Drosophila melanogaster: one gene and its partner. The protein of the gene in region 1 interacts with the protein of each later gene in a pairwise test. Each region holds a gene or a part of one and is shown on either strand. Other genes may lie near its edges.

The links. Proteins that work in one complex are often made in the same cells at the same time.
Region 2: the proteins of AIMP2 (region 1) and CG17564 interact in a two-hybrid assay, tested with the Drosophila melanogaster proteins (one large-scale study listed by BioGRID).

What each region holds. Positions count from the first base shown.
Region 1 is NT_037436.4:15,581,948-15,586,203, forward strand, and holds AIMP2 (aaRS-interacting multifunctional protein 2), read left to right. Parts: upstream 1-1,690; 5' UTR 1,691-1,787; coding exon 1,788-1,934; intron 1,935-2,049; coding exon 2,050-2,148; intron 2,149-2,339; coding exon 2,340-2,492; intron 2,493-2,692; coding exon 2,693-2,921; intron 2,922-2,975; coding exon 2,976-3,352; 3' UTR 3,353-3,400; downstream 3,401-4,256. Other genes in the region: CG12301 (uncharacterized protein), read left to right, coding at 1-1,317; CG7656 (uncharacterized protein), read right to left, coding at 4,255-4,256. UniProt on the Drosophila melanogaster protein: Required for assembly and stability of the aminoacyl-tRNA synthase complex.
Region 2 is NT_033779.5:19,297,529-19,301,956, forward strand, and holds CG17564 (uncharacterized protein), read right to left. Parts: upstream 2,406-4,428; 5' UTR 2,200-2,405; coding exon 2,087-2,199; intron 1,915-2,086; coding exon 1,460-1,914; intron 1,402-1,459; coding exon 1,114-1,401; intron 1,060-1,113; coding exon 908-1,059; 3' UTR 817-907; downstream 1-816. Other genes in the region: CG10750 (uncharacterized protein), read left to right, coding at 2,845-2,957, 3,020-3,474, 3,530-3,819, 3,874-4,011.

The DNA of each region.
Region 1 (4,256 bases):
ACCACCAAGAAGAGAGTTTTACCCGAGGAGGAGGATAATGACTACGATCCCTTTAATCCTTGGACAAAAAGAAAAGCTACAGAGCAAACGGAAAATGGAAATGGTGAAAGTGAGGGTTCCAATTGGCGGCAATATTGGACAAAAAGGAATAAAAACGAAAAGTTACTGGAGGAGCATCGTAGGGATTTGGAAGGAGTCCAGGATAATGACGAGCAGGAGGAGAAAGAAACTATTCGGAAACCATTAATAGAAGTAAAACCTGCTAAGAAGAAACTTAAGAAATCGAAAGTTAAGATAGAAAATGGCTGGGAGGTGGAAGATATTTGCCCAACTGATCAGAAAGAAGCCAAGGCAAGCCCGAATTCAAAAGCCATTGATGACATTTTTGAGAAACACGAGGATCATATCAGAGCCAAACTAAATAAGAAAATGGAGAAATTGAGGGAACGGATAAACAAACTTAAAGAAGTTCCTGTCAAGGGAAAGAAGGCGAAAAAGAAGGACGTCTTGCAAAACCTAAAAAGTCTGGCTTTAAAAAAGACAAAGCAACAGATAGAGATTGACGAGCCCCTTAACTACGAGGAGGATAAAAATTCACAGAATAATATCCCTGCCCACGTTGAAGGTAACACAGAAAGCACGGAAATTCCAGCTGTGGATACCATAGATCCCAACAAGGTGACAACTTTGGTGTTTACCCAAAAGAAGGGCAACTCGGGAGGCTTTAACGATGCTCTAATAGACGATGAAGCAGCTGAATACGACGAGGAAGACGCCGCTGCTGAACGCCAGTTGACAATCAGTCAAGCCTTCGAGGATGATGACATTGTAGCTGATTTTAATCGGGACAAAAGCAAGGACTCCGAGCTTAAGAACACTGAGCTTCAGCTCGCCCTGCCTGGATGGGGTTCCTGGGCGGGTGCTGGCATTTCGAAGGAGGTAATGGAGCGACGAAACAAGCGGCTTCTTCTTAAGTTGGCTGCTCCGGAAAAGCGTCGTGACGAGAATAAGGATAATCTTTACCTCAACGAGTCCGCCAGCAAGCAGGCGCGCCAGCACATGGTCTCCAGCATACCATTTCCTTTCCGATCCCTGGCAGACTACGAAGCCAGTATCCGTGCTCCAGTTGGCCGGAACTTTGTGCCGGAGACGGCGTTCCGCATGCTGACCCGTCCGGCAGTAATCACGCGCAAGGGCCAGGTAATCGAGCCCATGACAGAGAGCGAGCTGGTCAAGCCGGACAGGCGTCTACGCCACATCGTGGACAGGAGGATAAAGCGCATACCGAAAGTGCCACCCAAGGCCAAGATAGCATAGAACTAGGAATATTTTTAAAAATAAATCTGAATAATATGAACGATTGCCAGTCTCCTAATTTACTTAGCTATAGAAAGGGAAATTATTATATAAATTGCATTATTTTCTCAAATTGTTTTTTATTTTTGTTAATAACTGAGACATTTCTATAAAAAAAACTTGAATTAAAAAGAGTTAAACAATGTTTTGTTTGATTTTCGTTAAAGGTATAACGACACAACAGTAGTTGACCAAGCAGAATATTCTGGATGAAGTATAAAATGTATAAAAACTACATTTTAAATTTGAATTCAATAGCTTTCATTACCGCACGCAATGTGACCAGATTAATGGTGTTAAGTGGAACGATAGCGATAGCGTTGCCTTAAATTATTTGGTATTTTGTAAAGTTTCTCACAGACGGCAAGCACATTTTGGAATTGATAATTTGCGCAGGTTATTGTGTTTATCCAACGATTCTCGCCGCGAAAATGTACGAACTGAAGACTCTGCTGCCGCAATTCGACATAAAGCTGCCCACCTGCATGTATCCTCTCAAGAACGTTAGCCTGGCGGCGGATTCCTTGGCCAGCGGCTCCTCCACATCCGCATCCACATCCGCGTCCACATCATCATGCGTAAGTTTATTTGCCGGGCCAGTGAGAAGTTGGTCGGGTCGCAAGGACAGTGAAAGTGCAACGTATGTCTACAACGCCACATCCATTCCATTCCCGCATGTGTGATCCTTGCCAGAAATTGGAGGCCAACAGGATCGACAGAACGGGACGAAACGCAGCCACATGTGCACTTGATTTGGACTCTTTAGGCCGACAAATACAGCGACTGCTAAAGGTTAAGACCACCAAACTAAAATACGAAATTCTATTTATAAACCACCGACTAACAAAAAAAAAAAAAGAACAATACGCCAGTACCAGAAATATTTATAATGCATCCATGCTTCGTTTTGTGTGTTCTTGTGGCCTTGGCTAACGTTATATGTCGTTCCCTAACACATCCTCTTTCCCTGCTTTTACTTTCAGGACGATACGGCATCAGTGGCCGCCCGACAGGAGAAGGTTCTCAAGCAGCTGGAGGAGCTGAAGGCGCAGCTGGGACAAATCCGGGCGGGACTTGGTGTTTGTGGCAAGACTTTCCAGCACACGACTGCTTTCCAGAATGGTGGATTAAAGGAGGTACGACTATCAATATGTCAAGGTCAAGACTAGGAGTTCAAAGGTTAAATAAGAAATAATTAAATAATAATCAAAGTAAACAATATTTAGAAGCTTATGCAATAGGATTTAATTATGTGTAACATAGCTTTGAAAAGTCTTAGCTTAAAAGAGAGTTCCATCACCTTTATTTAATAATATTTCCAATAAATCAAAACCAGGTGCCACTGCAGGATGTCGTCATCAATGGACATCCCAACTTCATACCCTATGCCTTGTTGGCCCTGAAAAATGCCTGGCGCAATCTGTACACTATTGATGTCAAGACCTTTACGCACTCTACGATGGCCGACATTGGACCAGCAGCACGGGAATTCGAGGCCAACTTGGCGAAGGTTCCAGTAAACCCTGCTTTGCCCAAGATTAGTGTGACGCTCATCTGGAAGAACTGTAAGTATAACACATCTACAAAGTACAAAATACTGTTTATTCGATGCCTTCCAGGCGAACACACCGAGATGATCAGCTCGCCCACCATGTACGTGCCCATCTACGGAGAGGTGAACATCATTCGCTATCTGGGCCGTGTGGGTCCAGCCGAGTATCGTTATGAGGGCTCTCCGCTCTGCAATGAGATCGACCTTGTCCTGGACATTTGCTACCAACTGCTGCGCTGCAACACGCACAAAACGCAGGTGGCCATGGTGCGCCTGCTGGACAAGCGACTGCAGAAGCAGCAGTATTTCGGTGGATCCCAGATGTCGGTGGCGGATGTCGGTGTCTACAGCTCACTGATACGCATGCCAGCTGTTACCGAGAAGGATCTGACGCCTGCGCTAGTGGCTTGGAGAAAAAGGGCCAAGCTCGTGGTTCAAATTTAAATAATTCAATCGACAAAGGCGAACAAATAAATTATAGAATTCAATGTGATGCACTGAATGGTTTTCTGTACCCTTTCCTTTCCTAACGAAAAACCATAACAATTAATCCATCCAAATTGAAGGACCATCTTATTTTTTTTTCAGTAATTTTATTTGGCTTATTTATCTTTGTTGCAATTCTGTTACTGTTTGAACAATGCGCTTCATCGTTTCCATATTGCAATAGCTGGTTTTAAACTTACTTTGTCAATTTTGCACTTAAAAATTGCTTAATCGCTATGTTTCCATATTTGCTTTTATTCTTGAAATCCATTGATTGTTTAATATGGTTTTTTTTTCTGTTCTTTACCTTGATGCTGTGTCCATTATGTACGATAGGATGCCGCGTCGCGCGAATTGGGACATTTGTATTTCGTTTCCGCTCATAAAAATGTGTGTATGTATATTTTTAAATATTAAATACCTAGTACATATGCTGTGTATATTGATAATCAGTTTCTGTTTGAGTTTCTTGTGTTATTGGTTTTATTCTTGTTTCTGTGTTGTGTGTTTCTTCTGCGTATAAATGTTTGGATTTGGAGAAGTCCCTGAACTCTTAATTGCTTGCCCACAGGCTGGGAATTGAGTTAGCCCGCATGCATATAACCTGTAGCTTATACGATCATCATCTTAGTTATCAAAGTAAAATTGAGTAGATAAAATCAGCGTAGGACCATTGTTTCAACTACCCTCGGTACATATAAACTTGTTAAATAATTGTTTTCTCAGTTGTTCGGTTTAGTTTCGAAACGTGTATAATTAGAATTAATAATAGTAATAATGTTGGAGAAATTAAAAGGCGGTGGCTCGCCGCCCTGGGCAGGAGTGGGAGGAAGAGATGACGCGACCCTGGCCTGGCTGCATT
Region 2 (4,428 bases), on another chromosome or scaffold:
ACGATGACATCTAAAAACTGTTTTATCGAAATTGTTTTATGCATTTTCGCATCAATTATTGAAGTTGAATCTGTCAGTTAGCCGGCATTAAAGTTGCATTGCAGCAAAAGTGTTGAGCCCAAACCCAACTTGTGCATTTGCTGAAAAAGCGGAGGTCGTGTCAAGAGTTCGACAGGTTAAACGACGAATCGAGACTCCTGTCAATAAATAATTGAAAATCAGAGCCGCCGGCCGAATGGTCGACTATTGTTTTTTGTCACCGTCTCTTTTCGGTGGTAATTAAAAAAGTTTTTCCCTGCTGAAAAATAGCAAGAAAATTTTCAATTGACCAGAGAGCGGGTTTTTTTTTTTAGACCGGCTAATTGTCATGCAGAGCAGTGGTAAGAGGAACATTTCCCGGGCTGACGTAATTAAAAAGCCGTCAAGCGAAGTTGGCGCAGTTAGCGCTAAATGTCGTCCAGTTGATGCACAGACTCTGGAGCTTAAGTACTGGCCTTCCATCCCGCCTGCAGATCTCTAATTAAATAAGCAAGTGTCACATTTGTCTTGAGTGCCCGACAATTCGGTGACTTATGATGACTGCAGAGCAGGACGCGACGAAAGCCGCTCCAGGACCCCAATTCGGACCATCCACTTGGACGGAGGCATTGAGGAGCAGCGGAGAAGATTTATGAGGTAAAAGCAATTAGAAAGTGGCATTAACAACCGAATGCAGAGCTCAGCACAATTAACAATTGCCACAAGCTGCAGGAGCAGGCTAAGAGCAGCGAACCATCACACAAAGCACTTCTTTCTATAGAAACAAACAAACGTTTTAAAAGTTTCGCTTTTAATAAGCTTTTATAGTTGTAATAGCTGTGAGGTGTGCCTAGTCTTCCCTATGAACTCTTTGAATTTTGATATCCAATTAGCACAGCGACTTATCTCTGGCTTCCTCGTGCTTTATCGAGGGATCAGATGATTCGATTTCCTTTACAACGCCAGTTAATATTTCCACTTCGCCCATGATGGCATCCAACACCTTGTCCAAGTCGCCGCGAGCGGGAAACGAATGTACATCTAAAATAATAAAATGAATAAATTATTTAATAATAGCAAGATTTTTTGACTAACCTCTTCGCCGTAGAAGGATTCGGTGAAGGTTGGTAATCGCATCTATTGTGCGCTCCTTGTCCATGTAGTTGTTGTTGATGGCGTCCTTGGTCTTGGCCAGGATCTTCTCCCATCTGAGGCACTGCACTCTGGACTCGTTGTAGGATCGTTCCAGTTTGGCCAGATCGTTCTTTAGACCCAGCACAGTTAGAGCCGCATCATTTGTGATCTGCACCATACGCTGCCGCATGTTCTCGATGTCCTGGAGCTTTTGATGCTCCAACTTGTTGATCTCCACTTGAGCCAGCACTGTAGAACAAAAAAAAATTAATAACTTTATTTCATTTTATAAATTAGCAATGCTCACTCAGCGCATCACAGCGATCGGTGCAGTCCTTTGGCGAGACGAATATGTCGGATACCTTCACCACCTCGTCGAGCACCTTCTCGTAGGGCTGGAACTCCTGCACGGTGGCCTTGAGAGCCTCCCGAAAGGCCTTGAGTTCGCCGATCGAGTCCTTGAAGCTCTCAATGCCCTCGCCGAGCTCCTTATGGTTGAGCGTCTCCGCTTGGGCGGTCTTCTCGGCCACTCTCTTTTTGTCCGCGCAGTCCTTGATGAAGCTGTTCACCTCGATGAAGCGCCGCCTCAGCCGCTCCTGGATCTTGTACATGTTCCTCACCCGGGCGGAGTTCAGCTTGGTCTGCCGCTTGGCACTGGTCAGCATCTCCTCCTGCAGCTTGAGCATGGCTTCGTGCTCGCGGAGATTGTTCACATATATCAGTTCGATGGAGTCGCCGGCAGAGTCCGAGTTCGGTGGAATTCTACAGGAAGTTACGAATAGGTCAAATAATTGATACCAGATAGAGACATCCTTGCAACAGTAAATTACGAAGCTGTAAAATTTCTCAAAAATCTCAAACTGCACTACCAGGATCATTTTAGGATTGGGTACTTCTCTTTCAGCCTTTTTTCAGTGTGGGATTCACTACTTACACGAAGAATTTGTTCTGCTGCTTAGAGCTGATATAGTCCCCCACGGCATCCTCCGGCCGCAGGTCCAGATTTCCCAGAACATCGAGCTTCTTGGTGGGCTTCACGCGGGGCATCTTGGATCTCTTTGCCGAAAGTAAAAGCTCAAGTGTACGTTTTTGTTAGTTTTTTATATTTTTTTTTGCTTTGGTTACCGCGATACAGCGCGGATTGTGCGTTTTGTAGTAGTAGTTGTGTGTGCTGTGTGCTTACTTTTCAAAGTGTGTTATTGTTTTGTAATAAAAATTAACAAGACCTACTTGGAACATGTTTTTTATTTGGGTGACACATAAAAACAATTGGTTGCCAGGAGGTTCTTTTATTACCGTGGCAATGGTTGAGAAGGTGTAACCAGTTTTGTGTCATGGTAACTGCACAATTTGGTTTCTTTCGAAAAAACAAAATAGGAAGCTTCTTCGGCAAGCCGAACCTAATATACTCTTGATACTCGATGATGATTAATTTTTAATCAACAACTATAGAATTATGATATCTTTTCAATTGTTTTTACTTGATTTAACGACTGGTCGTACTTATGAAGGAAACGTCAGCAATTGCATAAATATCTGAATGTAGTAATAAAAAATGGTTTAATCCTTTTATCCTTGACTGTGCTGTCTGCCCATATACATGTAGAATTACTCATCACACATCGTTCTCCAATAGATATTCCCCCAATATATATCAATATATTTGAAAAGATTATATTTTAATAGGACAAGATGCCGCGACGTAAGCCCACCATTAAGACCGATGTGATCGGGGATCTGGACCTCAGTCCAGAGGTCGCCATCGATGACTATCGCGTCTCTCGCCAGCAGGACCAATTCTTCGTGTAAGCTAAAAGAGCAACTACAATATGTAAGTCATACTATTAATGAAACTTGGATGGTCTAGGAAACCGCCCAATTGGGATTCGGCCGGGGATAACATCGAGATGCTGTACATAGCCAATCTCCGGGAGTACGACGCCATGAAGCAGGTTCAGATCCAGCTACTCAAAGATGCCAAGCGGCAAGCCGCATTAAATGTGCAGCGCATTCGCAAGATGTACAAGATTCAGGAGCGCCTGCGCAAACGCTTCGTCGAGGTGAATGGATTCATCAAGGATTGTGCGGACAAAAAGCGCAGTGCGGATAAGTCGATTCGCGAGGAGACCGTTCTCCACGCGGAGGTCACCAAGGAGATAGACGAGTTCAAGACCTCCATTGCCGAACTGAGCACCTTTCGCAATGCGCTCAAGGCCACGGTGGCTCAGTTTCAGCCATACGAGAGGGTCCTGGAGGAGGTAGTCGAGGTGTCGGACATCTTCATCTCAACGAAAGACTGCATCGATCGATGTGACGCTCTAAGTGGGTTCTCCACACCTCCTGTAATTTCCATTCTAAATTTGTTTTTGTTGTGCAGTGTTGGCCCAGGTGGAGATCAATAAGCTGGAGAGCCAGAAACTCAACGAGATCGAGGAGATGCGCCTGCGAATGGTTCAGATCACCAGCGAGGCGGCCTTGACCGTTTTGGGCCTCAAAAACGATCTGGCCCGTTTGGATCGTTCCTATGTCAGCTCGCGGGCCACTTGCCTCAAGTGGGAAAAGATACTAAGTGCCTGCAAGGACACCACGTCGCTCTACAACCTGGACAAGGAGCGCATGTTTGATGGCATTCAAATCCTGTACCGCATGCTCTGCAAACGTCGAGGTATGTCCTTGAAATCCTTTGACTCTAGCTGATGTACCAACTCCACCCCCGCAGACATTGTTCCCAGCTACCACAGCTATGAGATCGACAAAATCATGAGCTTCATCATGCGCGAAATAAGTCTTCTTTCATCGGTCCTCCAGGAATTGGAGTCCAATAAGGGCGATAAAGTCGGCGCTGGACGTATGTGCTAGTCGGAAAATATAATATTTTTCATGGAGCATAAATAAATAAATAAATGATTTTAAATCCTTTAATTAATGGAACGAAGTTCAAATAGCTTTTACTAATTTCCGTTTGGGTTATTTTTACTGCAAATATTTAAAAAAAATTCAGCCGAATCAGAGATTAGAAGGGTTGTAGCGAAGGAATAAATGTACGACTTGATTTATGAGCTCCAAACTGTTTAGGGTTTTTTGTTTGAACCGAGAGGCCTTACATCCTTTCAGATTTACTCTCATTCCTAAGAACTTAAATGGGCGCTCCACCTTCAGCTTTATGGCACCCATAACATTTGTCTAACCCCAAAACCTTGCCAGCCCTCCCAAAAAAAAAAAAAAAAAAAAAAAAAACTAGAGAACCCACAACATTCGGTTGGGCATTGTTGTTCC